Linked DNA regions of Oryctolagus cuniculus. The protein of the gene in region 3 interacts with the protein of the main gene of each other region in a pairwise test. Links are inferred from orthologs where the notes say so. Each region holds a gene or a part of one and is shown on either strand. Other genes may lie near its edges.

What was found.
Region 1: the proteins of TRIM69 (region 3) and ASNS interact in binary tests that used the Homo sapiens proteins (3 or more experiments, as listed by UniProt). The two-hybrid records come from large-scale screens. The link is inferred for Oryctolagus cuniculus from reciprocal best matches to the Homo sapiens genes TRIM69 and ASNS.
Region 2: the proteins of TRIM69 (region 3) and IYD interact in binary tests that used the Homo sapiens proteins (3 or more experiments, as listed by UniProt). The two-hybrid records come from large-scale screens. The link is inferred for Oryctolagus cuniculus from reciprocal best matches to the Homo sapiens genes TRIM69 and IYD.
Region 4: the proteins of TRIM69 (region 3) and NEK8 interact in binary tests that used the Homo sapiens proteins (3 or more experiments, as listed by UniProt). The two-hybrid records come from large-scale screens. The link is inferred for Oryctolagus cuniculus from reciprocal best matches to the Homo sapiens genes TRIM69 and NEK8.

Annotation. Positions count from the first base shown.
Region 1 is NC_091447.1:38,574,741-38,580,593, forward strand, and holds part of ASNS (asparagine synthetase [glutamine-hydrolyzing]), read left to right. Parts: intron 1-2,032; 5' UTR 2,033-2,068; intron 2,069-2,664; 5' UTR 2,665-2,687; coding exon 2,688-2,936; intron 2,937-5,853.
Region 2 is NC_091436.1:17,496,323-17,502,175, reverse strand, and holds part of IYD (iodotyrosine deiodinase 1), read left to right. Parts: coding exon 1-116; intron 117-1,082; coding exon of another isoform or gene 1,083-1,176; exon of another isoform or gene 1,177-4,259; intron 4,260-4,265; coding exon 4,266-4,422; intron 4,423-5,853. UniProt on the Homo sapiens protein: Catalyzes the dehalogenation of halotyrosines such as 3-bromo-L-tyrosine, 3-chloro-L-tyrosine, 3-iodo-L-tyrosine and 3,5-diiodo-L-tyrosine.
Region 3 is NC_091443.1:67,651,540-67,657,392, reverse strand, and holds part of TRIM69 (E3 ubiquitin-protein ligase TRIM69), read right to left. Parts: intron 5,091-5,853; coding exon 4,857-5,090; intron 3,411-4,856; coding exon 3,388-3,410; intron 3,302-3,387; coding exon 3,177-3,301; intron 1-3,176.
Region 4 is NC_091448.1:44,229,937-44,234,733, forward strand, and holds the end of NEK8 (serine/threonine-protein kinase Nek8), read left to right. Parts: coding exon 1-98; intron 99-242; coding exon 243-307; intron 308-390; coding exon 391-572; intron 573-653; coding exon 654-804; intron 805-1,163; coding exon 1,164-1,240; intron 1,241-1,573; coding exon 1,574-1,691; intron 1,692-1,811; exon of another isoform or gene 1,812-2,045; intron 2,046-2,207; coding exon 2,208-2,358; intron 2,359-2,518; coding exon 2,519-2,682; intron 2,683-2,782; coding exon 2,783-2,941; intron 2,942-3,124; coding exon 3,125-3,283; intron 3,284-3,649; coding exon 3,650-3,678; 3' UTR 3,679-4,109; downstream 4,110-4,797. UniProt on the Homo sapiens protein: Required for renal tubular integrity. May regulate local cytoskeletal structure in kidney tubule epithelial cells. May regulate ciliary biogenesis through targeting of proteins to the cilia.

The DNA.
Region 1 (5,853 bases), on a different chromosome or scaffold from region 3:
GGGTCTTATCTATTGGAGAGGCACAGGACTCCTGCAGTCCAGTAGGGCCAGTTGCTTCACTCCCTCAACTCAGCGAATTCCCGTTGCTGAAGGATGGGCAGGGAGACGGACAGCAGGCTGCATCCTGCTTTAAGGACTCGTGTCCTCACTCCGTTCAATTCAGTTTATTTTCTTCTCATTGTCTTCGGCCCCTCTTACACACATAGGCCAATATTTGCTGGCTGCTTTAACAGCCTCACTTAAATCTGCATTTTCTTCCCAGCTCTTAAAGTCAGTCTTCATTGTCGGCTCTTGGGCCAGGTGTGTGGAAGAGACTCCCTAAGGCTTCATTTCCAAGTTACTTGAAATGCCACAATTTTCCATAACTTCAGTTTGGTCTTAGTGAAAGGCCAGCCAGAGCATTGGTTCATTCAGATAACAAAAATGAAATCGCTTCCAAGGATTGCTTCTAGTGAGATATCTATATATAGATTTAAATCTATAAATCAATCAATCTCTTTAGAGTTTCCCCAGATTATCTAGGCATTTGATGAAGACTTGGCAATTTTTGAAAATGCCAGAATAGTTACTTTCCAAGGCATGGATTTTGGTAAAATAGCTGATAGCATCCAAATACAGTTGCTTCTTATTTCACAGCTTAGAATTTAAAATTGAAAAGGAATTAATGTTTATAGAAATTTGTTGTTTGCTTCTTGGTCTACAGGGATGAGCTGAGTCGCTTTTTAAGGCTGCTGCATCTGTGTATGTCCTGCCTACCTTGATTTTTTTATACTTTCTGAATATTCTTTTTTTTTTCAGATTTCTTTTACTTTATTAAAGAATTTTACATTTATGTGCAGGAGCTACCTTGATTTCTTACTGAGCAAGCTAACTTTGAGACAGAAATGTTTGAGAACATTTTTGTCATTTAGAGCATGCGTTTGTTTTGTTTTGCTTTAAAGATTTATTTATTTGAAAGGCAGAGTGATAGAGAGAAAGAGGGAAACAGAGGAAGAGATCTTCTGTCTTCTGGTTCACTCCCCAGGTGGCCACAACGGTGAGGATTGGGCCAGGCCAAAGCCAGGAGCCTAGAACTCCATTCAGGTCTGCCACATGGGTGGCAGAGGCCTGAGTACTTAGGCTATTATTCATTGCCTTCTCCAGCGTTAGCAGGGAGCTGGATTGGAAGTGGAGCAGCTGGGACTTGAACCAGTGCTCTGATATGGGATGCCGATGTCGTAGGCAGCAGCTTAAACTGCTGGGCCACCATGCTGGTCCTGGGACGAGAACATTTTTAATAATTAATATTTATTTATTTGAAAAGCAGGGAGATATTTCTCATCTGATGGTTCAGTCCAGATGGCCACAATGGGCCAGGCCAAAGCCAGGAGCCAGGATCTCAATCTGGGTGGCAGGGACCCCAAGTACTTGAGCCATTACCTGCTGCCTCCCAGAGTGTGCATTTAGCAGAAAGCTGGTATGTGAAGCAGGGCCAGGGCTCAAACCCAGGCACTCTGAACTGGGATGTGGGTGTCCAAAGCTGCATCTTTGTATTATTATTATTATTATTTTAAAAGGATTCATTCATTTATTTGAAAGGCAGAGTTAGAGGGGGGGGAGGCAGAGAGAGAGAGAGAGAGAGAGAGAGAGAGAGAGAGATCATCCATGTGCTGGTTTACTCCCCAAATGGCTGCAATGGCCATGGATGGGCCAGGCTAAACCAGGAGCCTGGAACTCCTCAGGGTCTCCCACATGGGTGGCAAGGGGCCCAAACACTTGGGCCATCCTCTGTTGCTTTCTCAGACACATTGGCAGAGAGCTGGATCAGAAGCAGAGTAGCCGGGACTAGAACTGGCACTCAAATGGGATGCCGGCCTTGCAGGCAGCGGCTTAACCACACTGCACCACAACGCGGGCCCTCACAGCTGCATCTTAACCACTGCACCAAATGCCCACGCCAGGACATTTGGATACCCAACATTTTGTATTTTCTGTCAACATGTTTTGTTTGTTACACACGTATTTCATTACATTGCTTTCTTTTTCTCTTTAGACTTTGGATCGTCACAGTTGAACAGATCACTTGGAGGTAAGCTAGACATTGCAAAATGCTTGTAAGGGCTTTGTATCTTAATATTCCCCTGTGGCAGTGTGTATGTTCTTCTTGTCTGCCCACTATATTCTGCCTACGCTTTGTCCAGGGAAAGAAAGGGCATATTACATTGTCAAGGAGACCCAAGAGAAGACAAGTAAGGTGCAGAGTCTCCTCCACCTTTGAAAGATTTTGAGATTTTGGGGTGGGGAAAGTTGAATCTGGGCTCCGGTTGGAGTCAGCTGCAGGTTGACCTGAGCCCTTGGGGGCAGACTCAGGATGCAGAACGTGAACAGCCTGCGTGCTGCCTGTTCTAACCAAACACCAAATCCCCAAGTCGGGGAGATACAGGCTGTGGTGGCTGCCAAGCTGTTGTGTAGCTGGTTGGATGTAAAGGTTATTCATCTTTTCTAAATACTTGTAAGTAAATGAAGTCATTCTCTACTCTTGTGATCCTGCCACCCTAATGGAAAAATCACTATAGATAAGGTGGCTTGTCTCAGTGTTGGGAGTGTTATGCAAGTTTCTGGCATCAGGGCTTAATGCAGATTCGGACTGGATATTGAGCATTTGTCCTGCTCTTCTCTCCATAGAAAGCCCGTAGCTCCATTGCACCATGTGTGGCATTTGGGCCCTCTTTGGCAGTGACGACTGCCTGTCTGTGCAGTGTCTGAGTGCCATGAAAATCGCACACAGGGGTCCAGATGCATTTCGTTTCGAGAATGTCAATGGCTACACCAACTGCTGCTTTGGATTTCATCGGTTGGCAGTGGTTGACCAGTTGTTTGGAATGCAGCCAATTCGAGTGAAGAAATACCCTTATTTGTGGCTTTGTTACAATGGAGAAATCTACAACCACAAGGCGGTAAGCGAGTTAAAAGCAGGCGATGTCTGGAGGGGATGTAACCTCAGAGCTACTTGGTCGTAATAGTATTACACGCTCCGTGTGATGCCTTCTACTTTCAAAGCCCTTTTCTTGTCCATTATCTCATTTGTTTCAGTTATACAGATAGACAAGGCACTGATACACCAAGAGAGAAGTCGGTCACACAAACACACACAAAATAGAAGCCACAAAAACTGAAGTTACCATTTGGGTCTTTGACTCTCAGAATATGTTTTTCTGTTAGGAATATAAATATTACCTAAGGGCCGTGCTAGGCTCACTGTCCTCTGCTCTGGGCTGGGCATGGTGGGGCAAATGAGAGCTGTCAGTTGCCGGAGGAGATTATTCTCTCCGGGGACAGAGGGAGAGTCGTTGCTCATGCCACGGGTGTTCTGGAAGAATGAATGCAGAATTGCTGAGCAGGGGAGGTCCACTGTGAGGAACGGTGGTTGGAAGCCTCGTGGAGAAGCGACGCTTGGCTGAGACCTGGCAGTCAAGGATCAGCTCATGAGGCCAGGAAGCACTTCCTGCAGCAGGAAGAGCATGTGGAAGCCCCGATGTGGGCGGCAGCCCTGGGAGTGCAGTGAGCAGTAGGCAGGTGGGAAGGCTGAGCTTAAGTGGAAGCAGGGCCACTAAGCAGCTCTTTTTTTTTTTTTTTTTAAGATTTATTCGTTGGGGCCCACGCTGTGGTGTAGTGGGTAAAGCTGCCACCTGCAGTGTCTGCATCCCATTTGGGCTCTGGTTCAAGTCCCAGCTGCTCCACTTCCAATCCAGCTCTCTGCGATGTCCTGGGAAAGCAGTATAGGATGGCCCAAGTCCTTGGGCCCCTGCACCCGCGTGGGAGACCCAGGAGAAGCTTCTAGCTCCTGGCTTCAGATTGGTGCAGCTCCAGCCATTGTGGCCATTTGGGGAGTAAACCAGGGGATGGAAGACCTTTTTTTCTCTCTCTTTCTCTCTGCCTCCCAGTAACTCGTCTTTCAAATAAATAAATAAAATCTTAAAAAATGATTTGTTAATTTGAGAGGCAGAGTTACAGAGAGGCAGTGGCAGGGGGGTGGGGGAGAGGAGATAGAGATCCACTGGCTCACTCCACAAATGGGTGCAGTGGCCGGAGCTGGGCTGATCCGAAGCCAGGAGCCAGGAGCTTCTTCCCAGTCTCCCATGTGGGTGCAGGGGCCCAAGGACTTGGGCCATCCTATACTGCTTTCCCAGGCACATTAGCAGGGAGCTGGATTGGAAGTGGAGCAGCCAGGACACGAACCATAGCCTGATGTGGCACTGCAGGCGGCAGCTGTGTCTGCTACACCACAGTGCTGGCCCCCCTAAGCAAGTCTTTGTAGCCATGGTCAGCAATGGGAATACCATCTAAGAGCGGTGGCAGTTGAGGACTTTAAGGGAGATATTGGAGATGATCATGCTTACAGCTTTTATATAATGCTGCCACTGAGATCTCCCGGCATCCGCCTACCTCACTGATCAGAGCCAGAGGGCAGAAAGGTGGCCTGCAGCAAGTTAGACTCGCAGTAGCACTGGGATCACAGATGCCTCTCATCTGGCGAAAGCTTCCGCTTAAAGTGTGGGTGGTGGGTAAAGAAATTCTGACCCTAGGAACCAAAGGAACTTCCAATCGGATTATTTGGCTAGTGTTTCATGAGAAAACAAAATTTAAATCTGTGGCTGACAGTTTCCTTTTTGTTTATCACCACTGTCCAACTTTCAATGTGGAAATCCTTTCAAATATAGAGAACAGAGCAGTGAATTCCTGGATTGACCAATCCTAAATGTTTTGCCCTATTTGCTTTTTCTCTGTTTCTGTGTGCACACTTTCAGTCTTGGGCTTGAGAGTATGTTGCAGGTATTATGGTACTTTTCCTTCAACATGTAAGCATTTATCTTCAAAGAACAAGCACATTTTTTCTACTTAAGCAATACTATTAAACCTAAGAACTATAATACCTTCCAACATTTAGTTCGTATTTAAATTTTCCCAAGTGTCCCAATAATTTTTTTTTTTTTAAGATGTCATTTAATTTATTTGGCAGACTTACACAGGGAGTGTGAGAGAGAAATCTTCCATCTACTGGTTCACTCCCCAAATGGCTGCAAGCAGGAGCTGGGCCAATCCAAAGCCAGGAGCCAGGAGCTTTGGGCCATCTTCTGTTACCCTCCTAGGTGCATTAGCAGGGAGCTGGATCAGAAGTGGAGCATCCGGTATGGGATGCTGGTGCTGCAGGCAGAGGCTCAACCTCATCCAGGATTTTCAGTTGGTTTTACATGAACTTCTTTTGTCTGCAGCCTCAACTGAAAACATTGAGTGCAAGTACGAAGAGGACGAGGGAGGCCTTGGCTCATCAGGGTTGGCAGGGGCAGGGGAGAGCCACAGAGCTTTGGGTGCAGCTTCCTGGGACCTGCTCTGCGTGTGGCGTCAGCGACAGCCTCTGCTGTTCCGCTGGGGCTTGGGCTGAAAAAGCTTCACTAGGAGTTTGTCTGTCCGTGAGAAGTGGGGGTGGAAGGACCTCCCCCTGATGACCAGCACGTTTGTCTTGGACCACGTGTCTGCCATTGTGCTGGGACATTTATTTTTCAGGGAATGTTGCCAAGTTCTCTGTATCCCTGTGCTCTGTATTTTCATGGGTAGGTGTTTGAGGCTGAATTGGCAGAACCTTGGCTTATGCTGTTTCCCAAACCAGAAGTTTACAATCGCAGAAGACACCTTTTGAGTGGCAACCTATGTTCTTAACACACGTTTATATGTGGATCATGTTACCTGCCTCGTATGGCCGTGTATGGTAGGCACATGCTTCCCTCCACGTGTCACTCTTCTGGTATGTTACCATGCATTCTCCTTTTCAGAATGCAACTGAAAGGTTCACCATTTGGCTTTGTGTTGTAAGAA
Region 2 (5,853 bases), on a different chromosome or scaffold from region 3:
GTGGTGAAGGACCCAGCCGTGAAACACCAGATCCGGGAAGTCATCGAGGAAGAGGAGGAAATAAACTACATGAGAAGAATGGGGCACCGATGGGTGGCAGACCTTAGGAAGCTGAGGTACAGCTCTGTTGGAAGGGGGGGCGTTTGGCTTGTTTTCTTGAAGTGCAACCACTGTCCCTGCAGTTTCCTGGTTGTGTTTTAAATGTTACATATATAAAAAAGCTTGATTTTGACTTTGGGAGGAATCATGAAGCTAGAGTCTTGCCGTGTGCGTGTTTTGTAGATAAACAGGGTCTGGTCCTGGTGACTGCTTCCTCAACAAGACTTTGAAGCAATCCTTCAGTTTTCACTCTTCTGAACACAAGACTGTGAAATGCTTCTCAAGATCTTGAACAAAGAAAATTGTTTTGTTAAAATGATCGGGTCTTCCGAACGACTTTGCTAAGCTGACTTCAGTTTCAGGGCAACTGTAGTAAAAGCAGAAATTTAGGGCAAGTGTTGGTAGCTTCGTGGGTGTCCCTGTCCCCAGGAAAGCAGTGTGGTAGACCCTAGTGTGACTCCTCTCACTGGGGGTGGGGGAGGCCTCAAAGGCGATCTCCTTCCCTGCCCAAGCTCCACTGAGGCTGCGCGTGAGGAGGGTTGGTGCTTGGAGCCACTGGCTCTGGCCTCCTAGAAGGCCCTGAGGGAGGGAGTGCGAGTCCTTGGCTCTCGGAATGTGGAGCACCTCATTCCTCCAGGACTCAGCAGAGGTTTCCTGTGGCCAGTTCTGGCACCTGCCATGCAACACTCCCCAGTGACTAAGAAAGGGAGACAGGATGGTAGTCCTGGGGGCACAGCGGGACTTCCTGCCCAGTGTTAGAGAGAGGGACAGGATGATGGGATGGCAGTCCTGGGGGCACAGCGGGACTTCCTGCCCAGTGTTAGAGAGAGGGACAGGATGATGGGATGGCAGTCCTGGGGGCACAGCAGGACTTCCTGCCCAGTGTTTTAGTGAGAAGTGGTAAGCTCTTTTTCCTTCATTTGACCCCAGGGTACAATTTTCTCCTAAGATATTTAAACCCTCTCAAAATTGATGTTTTACAGAACTGTAACTTATTACCAACCTGTGGAACAAGGACGAGGTATTAACGATGGATTTGCTAACCTTATTGAATATTCATGGGAGAAACTGGGGTAGATAAAAGTCAAGCTGCGTTTCTACACTTGGAGAGAAGTCCTACTCTGTGTATGAACTGTCCCTCCAGAATCCAATTCATCCCCTTACTTTCCTCAACAGCTAATTGCTCTCTCGTCTGTGCCCAGAGCACCTCATGTACCACTTCCATTGTTCATAGCACTTTAATTCTTGCTTCCTTTTTTTCTCATTTTATAGGCAACTTTTTAGAAATCTGTGTTGTACAACAAGTTACCCTTGAGAATCCTATTAAGTTATAGACTATTTCTGGCAACCATACGTACAGATATACATGTGTGTATGTGCACACACACACACACACAAACTCTGGGTCCAGGGAGTTGGATTTAAAAAGCCTCACGTTGTACCACCCATGCCATGCTGATACACAGTATATAACAGAATAAATGCTTGTTGAATGGAACTGCAAATGGTCATGCACCTTGTCAGTGTTTCAGTCACTCTGAAACCCATAACTGTTGCTAGAGACTCAGGCCAGATCCAGCTTCCCTTTCCAATCTTACATCTCCATCTTACCAGCAGGAGCCCTCACCCCCATCAGAGGTGCAACTGTTAGCAAGTCCTTCTTTTCCTCTTCTTCTTTATCTCCTCCTCCTCTTCTCCTTCTCCTTCTTCTTTTAAAGATTTATTTTATTTACTTGAAAGACCGTTGCAGAGAGAGGTCTTCCATCCACTGGTTCACTTCCCAAATGGCCACAACTTCTGGAGCTGAGCCTGTCTGAAGCCAGGAGCCAGGAGCTTCTTCTGAGTCTCCTACATGGGTGCAGGGGCCCAAGAACTTGGGCCATCCTCCGCTGCTTTCCCAGGCGCACTAGCAGGGAGCTGGATCCAAAGTGGAGCAGCTGGGACTAGAACTGGCACCCATATGGGATGCCAGTGCTGTAGGCCAGGGTTTTAACCCACTGTACCACAGTGGGGGCTTCAACAAGTCCTTCTTTTAACAGAATTAATTCTTTGTTGTCTTTGTATTAGCTCTAATATGTCATAATGAATTCTTATACGACTGAATGAACCAAAATTCAAATATCAGTGCATGCTTAGGTAAAGTAAATTAGCACAAAATTCTAAAATAATTGACCTGCCTTAGAATATAAGCAAATTGCTTATTTAATTTTCACCTCCTATTTTGCAAATTTGTCTTATTTCCTCTCTCTCTCTCCCTCTATCAATATACATTTTATACAAAGCAATAACGCAAAAATTACAACTTTAAATCATGGAAAGATCATAGAGAATACAAGTTTATGTAATACAGCCTGGTCTGGGACATGCACAGCAGTCTCTTGATGACATCCACCTGCCTTGGGGCAGCAGCATTAGGTGGTGGGTGGCTGGGTGGACATCAGAGCAACCTCCATGGTCTGCTCCACGTGCTAAAGGTGTGCCCTGCAGGGGGTGGGGCTGGAGAGTGAGTCAGGAAAGTGGATTAAAACTGGTTCTTCGGCACTGATGTTTCCAAGATTTGAAATTCTGATCTTTGTGGTGTTAAAAACTGTTACATAGAAGCAGACTTCAAAATCTTCACAGAAAATTAAAAGTTTGTTTTGGTGCCAAGAATTTTGAAATCCATGCATAGCTTTTCATCATATGCATTATCTGTGAACTCTTTGGAGACCCCTTGTGTACATGCAACTTCTCTCACTGTTACAATAACCCCACAAGTGGGAGAACGATAGTCCGATTGCGAATGAGGAAGCTGAATCCTGAGAGGCCAAGGAGCTGCCCCAGTGTGGCCCTGCAAGTGCAGCTCCAGAGCTGACCTCCTAACCCATTCCCATTCTCTCTGTGGGGAGAAAAGACTCGGCAACCGAGTAGCGGGACTGAGCTGGCTGGATGGTAAAGGCAGCTTTGGAGATGTGACATAGATCTCACTAGTGTAAGAAGAATCCCAGAAAGATGCACACGTGAGCTTAGTATGTTTTAAAGAAGAGAAACTTGCATGGGGTAAACACGAAATGATTGGTGACCATTTATTGCTAAATAATGGCATGATAGAGCTTAAGGAAAAATTCCAAAAATAGGATTGTAAGACTGTCGCTCCTTTGAATACCTGTGAGCAAATAAAACTTCCACTAAAATATATGGCACAGGTTAATGGGAAACAGAAAAAAAATGCATGTTCTGAGCTAGAAAACACCAATTTCAATTCCGTGTTTGTGTCTCATGTAAACCGTCTCCTGTTCCCGCAGGAGTTCCCTTCCTTTCCCCTACCTGGGCGAGCAGCATCTGCCTTCTCCCTGGGATTGCAGTTCAATCTCTCAGTCTTCTTAGCCTCCCCCGGCCTGCTCCTGCGCTGCATTCTGCGGTCTCTCCCCTTCCAGGCTCTCCTTGCCCACCCTCCTGCAGGGCCTTTGTCAGGGTCTCCTGTGGTGTCTCTCCCACTGGGATGACTTTGTCATTGGTTCCTCTCCCATACCACTGGATCCGCCTCTTTTTGAACCAGATTTGATCCTAGGAGGCCTCTGCTCAGAAGCTGTGACAGATCTCCATCGCCCACCCCATGAAGGCAGACCCTTGGGAGATGGGTGTGTCCCGGGCCAGCCCCCCTTACCCCAGCATGCAGCACAGCCTCCAGCCCTCCGAAAAGTGCCTGACCTGCTGCGCATTCTCTATCGCAACACCACCTTCAAGGCCTGGGGTGCCCGTCCCCATCTTCCTGCAGCCCCACCCCAGGTCTTCAATGCCCGGACTTGAAGTCACTTTCTAGAAATTTCTCCCAATCTTCCTCAAAATTAGTGTTTCAGTTTGGGGCTCCTCCTGATGCACTTGGTTTGTGTTGCTTTGACAGCACTTGGCAGGCTTCTCTGGGCTGTGAACAGTGCCTTCTGGGCTACAGAGGTCCTCCATGTACCCCATGACAGCTTCCTGCTACGGCATGCTGGGCCCTTATCAATTCAATGCTCTTGGGCAGCAGAAGATGAACAAGACCTAAACGAAAATCCTGTTCTTTTTTTTTTTCAACCTAAATATAAACAGCAAGTTCATGCATTTTTATTTTCATCGTAAGTAAACTAAGGCAGTGAAGAGAGCAACAGCCAATATTCTCCATTATCTCTTCCCTCCCCAACCAGAACCAACTGGATTAAAGATTACTTGGACGATGCCCCTGTTCTGATTCTCATTTTCAAACAAGTACATGGCTTTACTGCAAAGGGCAAGAAAAAGGTGCACTACTACAATGAGATCAGCGTTTCCATCGCCTGTGGCATCCTGCTAGCTGCCCTGCAGGTATGTTTCCCTCCCACTGCGCCACGGGGGAGAAACAGGACTTGGGAGTGGAGGGGCACTATGGTGGCCCTATTAGCACATTTCATCAGAGTTTCCAAATCAGGGATGTTAGGAAACTTTATGCAAAGTTGAATGCCGGAGAAACTCCTAATGCTGGAGACCCCGGTGGGTGATGAGGAGGGTCCAACAGGCTGGAATTCTTCTTGGAAATTCACTTGGAAAATCATTTCGGGTCCGAAGGATCGTCGTTCAGTTTGCCCTCATCTGTAACAACCTGCAGCTTCAAGGGCTTCGGCAGACACACAAGAGCTTCAGAGGCTGAAAGTCCCCGAGACTCGCTCCCTGCCCGTGTCTACTGCCCCCCGCCCCCTGCAGCGGGGGAGGGGACGATGGCAAAGCTAGCAGTGGGGCTGCACTGTCTTCCAGCGCCTTCCCTGACACGCTGACTTGGCGTTGTATGACTTAACACAGCTACGGGCTGGCATTTTCCTCTTATCTGCACAGCGGTGAGAGCAACGCTAACATGGGATAGAGCACAGTGCAGATGGGCCTCGCAAGCCATTCGATTCACTCGCGCAGCAGAAATTCTCGGAGCTCCCTCCGTGCGGCGGTCCCAGGGGTTGCTGGTGAACTGAGCGTTCTGCAGGGCTTTGGAGTCAGGGCTGGGGGTGGAGAGACGGCAAAAACGCAAAATAAACACAGCAGCGAAGATTATCAGCGCGAGTGGTCCTACTTTCGAGGGCCAGTCCATTCCGACACATACGAGCTGCTTCATCGTCTCAGACAAGTGTGTCGGCTGAGCAGCTCCCGGGGACACAGCCACCGCTAGAGGCACGTGCTTTCAGATGACCGGCATCTACTTCCTAACTGCACCTGTGAGTAGGTGAACAAAGGATCCCGAGCGGAGGCCACAGGTCCCGCGGTCCATCCAGGAGCAGCGAGGGCTCCCTGGGAGCTCGGCTCGCTGCTGCCCTCTAGCGCTTGCTGAGGCAAGTTGTGATCAGAGGGAGGAGAACACTGTGGTAGCCCCCTCCTTACATAGGGTGTGACGGGAATAAGCTGGCCTTGCAGGACTGGGCAGCTCCGGGGCCTCTTGCTGGTTCCTGGAGAAGGGTGGCCGGGGAAGTGCCTGGAAGCCTCACTTTGGACCCAAATGCTCGTTATTTGGAGGTCTGGGGAGAGATTGGTGGGGGATTTCCTTTATCCCCGGTGCATCCCGTAGCCACTGAGTCCTTTTTGATTGGGCATGGGTGTTTTCATTCACCGTGATTCGCTGCTTCCCCTGCTGGCTCCACGGTCACAGAAGCGCTTGGCTATTGCTGTTATTTAGAATAAAACAGGCAGGCCTTGATCAGTGCATTAAATTCCAGGATCTAACAGTAGGTCTACAATTTTAAACATCATGATGACGATGATGATGTTTCAAAATAT
Region 3 (5,853 bases):
TGGCTGATTCATCACATTTTTCCTGTTGGTATTCTCTACAAGAAACTCCATTCTCTCCTTCTCCTGGAAAATCTCTTATCAATAGCTTCAGTTACTGCACTATTTCTAGGTCTTCACTTATTCTGCAGGTTCTATATTAGCTCCTTCTCTATCAGGTTTATACATGAGGCTGTTGCTTTTCGGAAGAAACTAATATTTTTTCTATAAGGGCTCAGATAATTAGTATTTTAAATGTTTACATGTTGTATGGTCTTTGTTGGAACCACTTAACTGCCATTATGGTGAAAAAAAAAAGTCACAGATAATATGTAAATGAATAGTCACAGATGTGTTCCAATAAAACTTCGTTTACAAAATAGGCAATAGGCCAGATTTGGCCTTTTGGCTATAGTTTGCCAACTCCAAATTAGGCAATCACTAAATTTAAAATATTTTAATTTATTTCCTTTAGTTTTGTGTTTATCAAAAAAAAAATCATCAAAATTCACTCATTCAGCATACTCTTATAAGGGGCCCACTATGTGTTAAACGTTAAGTTGGGCTCTGAGAACACAGAAATAAAAGATGTAGCTTCTGCTCCAAAGAAGGAGAACTAGAAGACCAACTCAGACTCTGTAATAGCCATCTAGGTGAAAAATTAAGACCTAAACCAAAGAGTGACAATAAGGATGGAAAATACAGATTTTAGAGATGGAATTCTAGGAACTGAAATGTATCAACTTGGATTCATTATTAAAATGTATTAAATATAAGATGTTATTTATAGGAGAACCTGGGGAAGGAGTGTGTGAGAACTCTCTGTGCTACCATCTCAATTGTTCTGTAAAATTTTAAAATTGAAAAGTGTTCTAAAAAATTAGCCCCATTAAAAAGAAAAAAACAGTACTTGCCATGCAAAGCAGCAGGAAAATATGACCAGTCAGGAGAAAAATCAAGCAGTAAAAACAGGTCCCAAATGATAACAATGATGGAATTAGCAACAAGGACATTAAAACAGTTATATCTTCCATCTGCTCAAGGAAGGTATGAGTACAATGAGGAGAGAAATGGAAGACTTTTATAAAAAGACCCAAAATGAAACTTCTAGAAATTAAATGTTTATGAAATGAAAATATCTTGAACAGCATTAATTAGTGCAGAAGAAAAGATAAGAGAACTTAAATAGCAAAAGAAACTATTCAAATGAAACACACGAATTAAAGCTTAAGTAGTGAGAATCAATGACATGAGACAACCTGACAATATCAAATTATCTAACATACGTAAAATCAGAATTCCAGAAGGAGGGGAGACAACAGGTATGGTAAAAAAAAAAATACTGGAAGAAATACTAGTAGATATTATTTCAAATTTGATGAAAACTACTAGCTCATAGATCCAAGAAGCTCAATGAACCACAAGCAGAATAAATATAAAGAAAATTACAACAAAACTCAGCATAATCAAATTAGTATATGCAAGTAGCATAAAAGCAAGTCTAAAAATAGACTCCCCGGGGTCGGGGGGAGATACAGTATATACAGAGAAATGAAGTTGAGGATGACTGTGAAGGGGCATGTGGGAACTTCCTGGGATGATGTAAGTTTTCTTTATCTTGATTATAGGGATGTTCACATAAGCGTATATGTCTGTCTAAACTCACCAAACTAATATACTTAACTAGTAAATTTGGGGTTGTCATTGTGACACAACAGGTTAAGCAGCACTTAAGATGCTGGCATCTAAGAGGTTGGTGCTGTGGCGTAACAGGTAAGGCCGCTGCCTGCAGTGCCGGCATTCCATATGGGTGCTGGTTCGAGTTCTGGCTGCTCCATTTCCTATCCAGCTCTCTGCTATGGCCTGGGAAAGCAGTAAAAGATGGCCCAAGTCCTTGGACCCCTGCACCCGCATGGGAGACCTGGAAGAAGCTCCTGGCTCCTGCCTTCGGATTGGCTTAGCTCCAGCCTTTGTGGCCAGCTGGGGAATGAAGCAGCAGATGGAAGACCTCTCTCTCTCTCTCTCTGCCTCTCCTTTCTCTGTGTAACTCTGACATTAAATACAAAAATCTTTAATAAATAAAATAATAAAAAGAAGATGCTGGCGTCCCATATTGGAGTACTGGTTCGAGTCCCAGCTGCTCCACTTCTGTTCCAGCTCTATGCTAATATACCTGGCAAAGCAGCAGAACAAGCCCAAGTGCTTGGGCCCCTGACACGATGTGGGAGATTTGAATGGAATTCCTGGCTCCTGACTTTAGCATGGCCCAGTCCTTGCCATTGCAACAATTTGGAGAGTCAATTAGTAGATGAGAGACATACTCCCTCCCTCCCTTTCTCCCTCCCTCCCTCCTTTCCACTCCCTCTCCTTTCCTCCCTCCCTCTAGATCTCCCTCTCCCTCTCTCTGTCACTCTGCCTTTCAAATAAGTAAATGAATAACTCTTTTTTATTGGTAAATTTTATTCTGTTGTTTATACTTCAGTAAAGGGTTTATTTTCCCCTGTCAATTCTCTGGAAAAATTTGTAATTTTCTTGGTCATAATTAAATCAGTAATTATGACAATCATGAAAATGGGTCTAAATGAATTCTGTAAAAACATTATTTAGAATTTTGTTTCTAGAAAAGATTTTCTTATAAAGATTTTTTAAAAACTTATATAGTGTTCTTGGAATGCCATCTATGTTATTTTGTCCTCATTCTTTTGGCATCCACAGGAACACAAAAACTTAGCATCCTTATTAGGCATATTTATTCAAATTATTGGTTTCCTACTGAAGATCTCTGCGCAATATCCTAAGATGTTCTACTCTGTGCTGTGACCGTCAAGCACAAAGAACCTGTAAACATCCCATGTGCATATGGAGAAATATGTGCAGAAACTTCCTTCCCCAGGGCAGAGAAGCCTCAGGGATTTATGGAGGTATTTTTGCAAGAGGACAAAATTTTGGCCACATTTAATAGAACAAACAAAATCATAGGCTGGGAATAAATTCTAATATCAGATTCATCTGTTAACTGATACAAAGCCATAAGTTCTTAGGTATAACTCCAAAAGAAGTTCAGTCATACCAACTAAGTCTCCTTTTGGCTAAACTCCATCTTTCTTCCCGTACCAGAGTCTAAAGACCTAATTAGGGCCTCAGAAGAGTCTCCAGGAATGAAGCATAATTAGGAGTCCAGGTCGCTACCCACTTGATACCTGGAAGGATGGTGGACTGCATTTCCCTCCATATCATATACTGGATGGGACCCTTGAACTGGCCTGGGTTCAACTTTCTGGAGATAAGGTCCCTGGGTGTCAGCACCTTCATTCCTTGCTCCAAGCTGAAGGGGAAATAAATCATTTATTTGTAGACATTCTCCAGGAGCTGAAGAACGGGCAGTAAGAGTACCATGGGGGAAACACTTACCTATCCAAAAGATTTGTGATGTCCTAGAAGAGGAAAGGAGAAATAGACAAGTCAGACATCTGTTCATCAACTCCAGAGACTCCTTTGGTGATTTGGCCACCACTAGAATTTGATCATCACCTGCTATCCTATGTAGATAGGCCCCCTCTCCACCAACTGCTTTCATCCTCCATATGCCTTTTCTGGTCTGCATCCCTGATCTCATCCAGGATAAACTGACCTTACCTTGTCTTGACTTTCTAGAATTCCCTTTTATAAAGGATAAGAGGGAAATCAATAAGACAGTAAAGTTTAAGCTTTTCTTTTTGTTGTAACCTATCCTTTCAAATAGTATCACCAGAAAATCCAGTCCAAGCACACTTTTCCTTCTGGCTAACTAAACTTCTAAGTGCTGAATTCTGTCAACTTAGAAGTGAAACTTTAGGTAGCAAAATTTGGCAAATAACTTTTCAAATATGTCACCTTATGATTGCTGAACCCAAGTCAAAGATACAAATCAAGCTGCAAACATTCTTATGTTTAGATATAAAGCTTTAAAGTTGGTTAGGGAGAAATACTAAACCACACTGTTATTAATGGCATTTTTTTAAAAAATGTTAATTTATATTTGAAAAGCAGAGCAACAGAAAGAGATCAAAAGGTAGAAAGATCTTCTATTTACTAGTCAGTCCTCAAAAGTCTGCAACAGCCAGAGCTTGGTCAAGCCAAAGTTAGGAGCCAGAAATTCCACGCAGATCTCCTATGTGGTTGGCAGGGACACAGGTACTTGAGCCATTATCTGCTGCCTCCCAGGGTACGCATTAGCAGGAAGTTCAGTGAAAGTCAGAGTCTGGACTCAATCCCAGGCACTCCCATATATGCAGGAATCTCAAGCAACTGCCTAACCCTCTGTACCACAGTGTCCCACACTATGAATGAGTTGGTTCTTTTTTTTTTTTTTTTAATTTTTATTTGACAGAGTTATAGACAGTGAGAGAGTGACAGAAAGGTCTTCCTTCCGTTGGTTCACCCCCAAGATGGCCACTACGGCCAGCGCTGCGCCGATCCAAAGCCAGGAGCCAGGTGCTTCCTCCTGGTCTCCCACATGGGTGCAGGGGCCCAAGCACTTGGGCCATCCTCCACTGCACTCCCGGGCCACAGCAGAGAGCTGGACTGGAAGAGGAGCAACCGGAACTAGAACCAGATGCCCATAAGGGATGCAGGCACTGCAGGCGAAGGATTAACCAAGTGAGCCACAGTGCCGCCCCTATGAATGAGATTTTATTATCTTCTTTTTCTAGGAGGATGACAGTAAACCCATCTGCTGAGCCAAAAACAAAAGTACCTTCCTGCTTTATTCCCAGAAAGACTTAAAAGCACTAGAGTAGTTTCACTTTGTTTTTCCCCTAGTGAAAAGTCACTTCCACATCCTCTTCAGCCCTCTTCCTCCCTCTGAGTGTACCTGCAGTCGCGTTGGGGTGGAGCCTCACCTTGAGGAAGTCGAAGGAGTTCTGCTGTTCCATCCGTACCTGAATGCTAACCAGCATATCCTTGGCCAGGAGACACTGCTCCTGAAGCTGGTTCAAATTCAACTCCATCTCCTCATTCAAGGTTTTGCCCTCTTCCCGGAGCTCATTTAGAATGTCCTTTTCTTTGCTGTGCAGGAACTGATGCAGCTTTAGAAACTCCAAGGACACATGTTGCTGTAGATGTACCTTGTTTTCCTGGAAACCTCCACGATCATCAGCATGGTTATTACTGAGACAAGGACTTGGGGACAGGGGCCCACACCACTAATGCCCACTCAGCTTGAGAAAGATCATCACAAGCAAAATGCATACAGTGTCAACATTCATCCATATTAAAAGGAATCTTTTAGGAGACTTACTCCTTCTTTCCCAGCTAGTTTAGTGATTCAGGATGGAATAGCAAAAGTGTTCCTATTGCAGCACTAAGATGGCAACCAATGCCGTATTAAATAAACTTGTGAAGTTCATCAAACATCCTAGAATGAACAGTAACCTCCAGATTGGCAAACCAATATCTACCAAGTTGTGCTGTTAGATTGGGATCATAAGGGGGCTTGAAGAATTGCCCTTATCTGGGACTGGAGGGGATGCTATTCCTGCTGTCAGAACAATATAAAAGAATCAGGTTCTGAGCAATGTCTGAAGCACTAAAATTGAAAATTGCTGCACATGAAGCTCTTTTCTTGAGTGACCTCACCATCCTCACATATGAACCATCTGACATCCTCCTGGCTTCTTAGTTCTTCATCCTCCTCATTTCCAATGATTTCCAGCTTTATCCACTCATTCCCACTGTTATAGTGGGGGTTTTACCATCCCCAGTAATTGCACCATCTCCAAAATAACTTTTTCTGCTCCAAGCTCACTTACTCAGGGGCCCCTATTGCAGCCTTTACTGGATCTCTTTTATACCTCCTATGCGTTGACTCCTCCCTCTCTATTCAATTTCTCTCTTTAT
Region 4 (4,797 bases), on a different chromosome or scaffold from region 3:
GCCCAGCGGCCGCCGCTCAGCCACATCATGGCACAGCCCCTCTGCATCCGGGCCCTCCTCAGCCTCCACACCGACCTGGGCAGTGTCCGCATGCGGAGGCCAGTAAAAGGGCAGGGGTCCTGGGCGGCTGGGTGGGGGCAAAAGGGAGCACAGGAGGCGCGAGGTGGAGGGGTGCTGGGGGCCAGCATGTAGGAATGCTTGTGAGGGCCCGTGCCCTGAAGCCCCGACCTGTGGTCCCACAGGGCAGAGAAGTCCCTGGCCACTGGGCGGCCCTCTGGGAGCAGGAGCAGCAGTGCCCGCTGCAGGGGTGAGTGCGGGCGGGCTGCTGAGTCCTGGCCAACACCACCCAACTCCCACCGGGTTCATGGGCTCCATTCGCTGTCTCTGCAGGCGTCCCTCGAGGACACGGGAGGCCGGCCATTCCTCCACCACTGTCATCAGTGTACGCCTGGGGCAGCGGGCTCAGCGCCCCCCTGAGGCTGCCCATGCTCAACACGGAGGTGGTGCAAGTGGCGGCTGGGCGCACGCAGAAGGCTGGCGTCACGCGCTCTGGGCGCCTCATCCTCTGGGAGGTGAGCAGGGCGTGGAAGGGGTCAGAGTGGGGACCTACAGGGAGGTTGCTGGTGCTCAGGCGCCGCCCCCTCCCTCCGCAGGCCCCGCCCCTCGGCACTGGGGGAGGCGCCCTCCTCCCCGGGGCGGTGGAGCAGCCGCAGCCCCAGTTCGTGTCGCGTTTCCTGGAAGGCCAGTCGGGCGTGACCATCAAGCACGTGGCATGTGGGGACCTCTTTACGGCCTGCCTGACCGGTGAGCCCACAGAGCAGCTCACTCGTTGCAAACTGCTCACCTAACCTTTTTCTCTCCTAGTTGTTGAGTTAGTGCTTTCTGTCTGCTAGCCGTTGAGATTTACTTACACCATCTCTGTCACCCCACACAACGGGCTTGGCAAGGGCATTGTTATGGTATACCCATTTGACAGGTGGAGAAACTGAGGCTCAGAGATTCTGCCACTTGTCCGAAGTCATACACTGAGAAGACAGCCCCCTGGCCTGTTCTCACCCATCCTTTTTGCTCTAGCCCCCAACTTTCGTCTTGCTCCTCCAAACCACAGGTGTGGGACTGGTCTAACTTCTCTGCCTTCTGTCTCCTCCCTGCCTCCTGCCCAGACCGCGGCATCATCATGACCTTCGGCAGCGGCAGCAACGGGTGCCTCGGCCACGGCAGCCTCACCGACATCAGCCAGGTGGGGATCCTGTGGGTTTCGCCCTGGGGAAGGGGAAGTAGGGGGATGGCAAACGGCCCACATCTGAGAGCCGATACCACACTGGGGCAGGGGAGTCCCCAGCAGCACAGGTGCCTCTGGCTCCGAGGCTGCACCTGCTCTTGGTGGCATCAGCGGAAGCACAGAAAGACCAGGCTTCGCCAGTGAGCGCCTCCTGCTTGGCAGCATGTGTGCAGCTGGAGTTAAAGAGACAGCACTTGAAAATGTGCAAGCTCCAATTTCATCCCCACTGGGGGTGCTGCCGCCTGGGGGCGAGTCCTGACCACCGGCCCCCTGCTTCTTCCCCCACTCTAGCCCACCATTGTGGAGGCCCTGCTGGGCTATGAGATGGTGCAGGTGGCTTGCGGGGCCTCTCACGTGCTAGCCCTGTCCACTGAGCGAGAACTGTTTGCCTGGGGCCGCGGAGATGGTGGTAAGGTCTCCACCCTTGCTGCAGCCCCTAAGCTTCGTCCCCCAGCCCCCTCCCATACCCCCGCCTCCCCCTTCCATTCTGTCTTCCCTCTTTTCTCTCCGATTTATTCTTTCAACACACCTTGGTCACACACCCACTGTGGGTCCACCCTGGGCTGGGTGCTGGGGCCAGATGAACAAGATGTGGCTTCCTCCAGGCGCACTGGGCACTAACTCCAGCGGTGGCGCAGGTGGGTACCTGTCCCCTGGAGGACTCGGGCTAGTGGAGATGGCACAGCTGCAGCGTTGCCACAGGTCAGACAGCATCGGGGCCACGCCGAGGCTCAGGTGTAGGAGCTCCAGGAGCAGCAGTCACCTGTGGAGACAGAGGGGGCATCCGAACAGGGCTTTCAGGGAGGATCCGGCTGACGGCAGCGCCATGCAAGGCCCTCTGAGGCGCAGGGAACAGCCTGCTCTCTGGGCCCCGCCCAGTGCTGAAGTGCGAACTAACCCCATCTCGCCTTCTCCTTCCTTGTAGGCAGGCTGGGTCTGGGGACCAGGGAGTCCCACAGCTGCCCCCAGCAGGTGCCCCTGCCCCCAGGACAGGAAGCCCAGCGGATTGTATGTGGCATCGACTCGTCCATGCTCCTCACTGTGCCTGGCCAAGCTCTGGCCTGTGGGAGCAACAGGTGAGCAGGTGCACCGGGCTGATTCCCCAGCCTCTGCCGCCCACCGAGGACCACGCTGAGAGGGGCTGAGGATGCTGCTTGGCCCAGTGCAGGTGCAGCAGCCCCTGCCCAGAGAGCTGGGGGCGGGCAGTCTGGATCTGCCTTCTGGCTCTGCCTTCAGGTTCAATAAGCTGGGCCTGGACCACATCTCCCTGGGGGAGGATCCCGTTCCCCACCAGCAAGTGGAGGAGGCCCTGAGCTTCACCCCTCTAGGCTCTGCACCCCTGGACCGGGAGCCCCTGCTGAGTGTGGACCTGGGCACTGCGCACTCAGCTGCTGTGACTGGTGAGGACGCGTGCATGGGAGGCCGGTGGGGGGCGCCCTGGCTTCCAGAGGGCCTCTGTTGAGGCGCCTTCCCTTGCTCTCCTGCCCCCTCCCTCCACAGCCGCGGGGCACTGCTACACATTCGGCAGCAATCAGCACGGGCAGCTGGGCAGCAGCACTGGCCGGGGCGGCCGGGCACCCTGTCAGGTCCAAGGCCTCGAGGGCATCAGGATGGCGATGGTGGCCTGTGGCGATGCCTTCACTGTAGCCATTGGGGCAGGTGAGGGGTGGGCACAGCGGGCAGACTGGCACGGAGAGCCTGGCAGGCAGTGTAGGACATCACGCTCAGGGCCGCTGGACTCAGCCAGCTCCCCCCGGGGCCAGTCTGGTAGGCTGGGCTCAGAGCTGCTTGCTTGGGCCGTGTGCCCCTTCCCACGTTCTCCCTCGGGCTTTTCTCTGGCAGAGGGTGAGGTGTACTCCTGGGGCAAGGGAGCCCGAGGCCGGCTGGGAAGGAGGGACGAGGATGCCGGCCTCCCTCGGCCGGTGCAGCTGGACGAGACACACCCTTACACCGTGACTTCCGTGTCCTGCTGCCACGGAAACACACTCTTGGCTGTGCGGCGTGAGTGTTGACTCCCCCCCACCCAGGCCAGGCTAACCCAGGGGGGCCCTGCCCACACTCCCATTCCTGGCAGGCAGTCACAGCCCAAACTACCAAACACACCACACACCGTCGACTCCCAGAAGCTGTGGGGCAAGACCAAGCTTCCTGCCAGAAGTGGGTGCTGGTGGGCGCTACCCAGGGCTTTTGTGTGCTCTACCCAGGGCTTTTGTGTGCTCCTTCTCCTCCTACCCCGCGGGTCCAAGAGGCTCTGAACCTCCAGCTCTGGCCTGGCAGGGCCCTGCGGGGCGGGGGTTGTGGTGGGAATGCTTTCTGGAGGCACCGCCTTCCGGGAGGCTGCAGGGGGTTCTGTCTGGTACCCTCCAGCTGTCACGGATGAGCCCGTGCCCCCCTGAGGTGCTGGATGCACCTCTGGACCACCCTGATCTGGCTTCTCCACCAAGAGTCATGAAGAGTGCAGGCGCCTGCGGCATGATTGTCCCCACCAGACCCCTGGGCTGTCATCAGAGGGGCGGAAGGGCCAGCGAAGTCCTGCTTTGCTTCGGAACCCCAACCGGAGCAGGCAAAGCCATGTGAGCAGCATTTCCAGCCCCGGCTGCTCCACTTCCGATCCAGCTCCCTGCTCATGCGCCTGGGAGGCCAGCAGAAGTGGTGCTTGGGCTCCTCCCTCCCACGTGGGGGACCCGGATGCAGTTCCAGGCTCCTGGCTCCCACCTTGTCCAGGCCCAGCTGGTGCTGCCTTTTGGGGAGTGAGCCAGCAGATGGAAGACCTCTCTCTCTCTGTAACTCTGCCTTTCAAATAAATAAATCTTTCAATAAACCCGAACCTCAGCCACCCCCACCCCTTTTCTCAGTCTACCCCTGGGGTCAGACCCTGGGGAGCTGGGTGGTCTCCTGGGCCTTGGCAGGCGGAGGCTGGTGGGGCTGCAGTCAGGCCTTTCCCCTCTTCCAGCCAGGAGAGCCCCTGCTGCCCAGTGGGACATGGTCTCCAAGCTTGGGAGCAGGGCAAGCCCGGACTGGCCCTTAGGCTGGCCTGGGGCTGGGAGCTCGGAGGGAGCTGCTGCCCGCCCCCACTCCTTATCCCGCAGCAGGGATTTGCACAACCTGCGAGGCCTCCCTAGCCCTGCGGGAGTGCGGGAGCCGCCCAGTGTTGCAGAGGTCACCTCCTCACCCCATGCCTTTCCCCAGACCCACGTGGAGGGGGGAAGGGGAGCTGGCTGGACCAGACCAGTTTCCCGGTAGACTGGAAGTCGCCTGAATAAAAGTATCCGCTGCCTGCCTGCAGCGTGCTCTCTTCAGAGGTGGGGTGGGTGGCAGCCACACACCACAAGACGTGGGCTGGGCCCGGCCGCGGTTGCAGGGCCGCGGCCGGGGAAGGAATGTGGGCGCAGCCGGGGGCTGGGACAGAGGCTCCTTTGGCCCAGCGCCCAGTCCAGCCTCCTCGCCCCGGACGGGCTCCTCGGATCTGGTTGCCAGGCTTAGCTGCTTAGCACCTGGAAGCTGGGGGCCCGGGT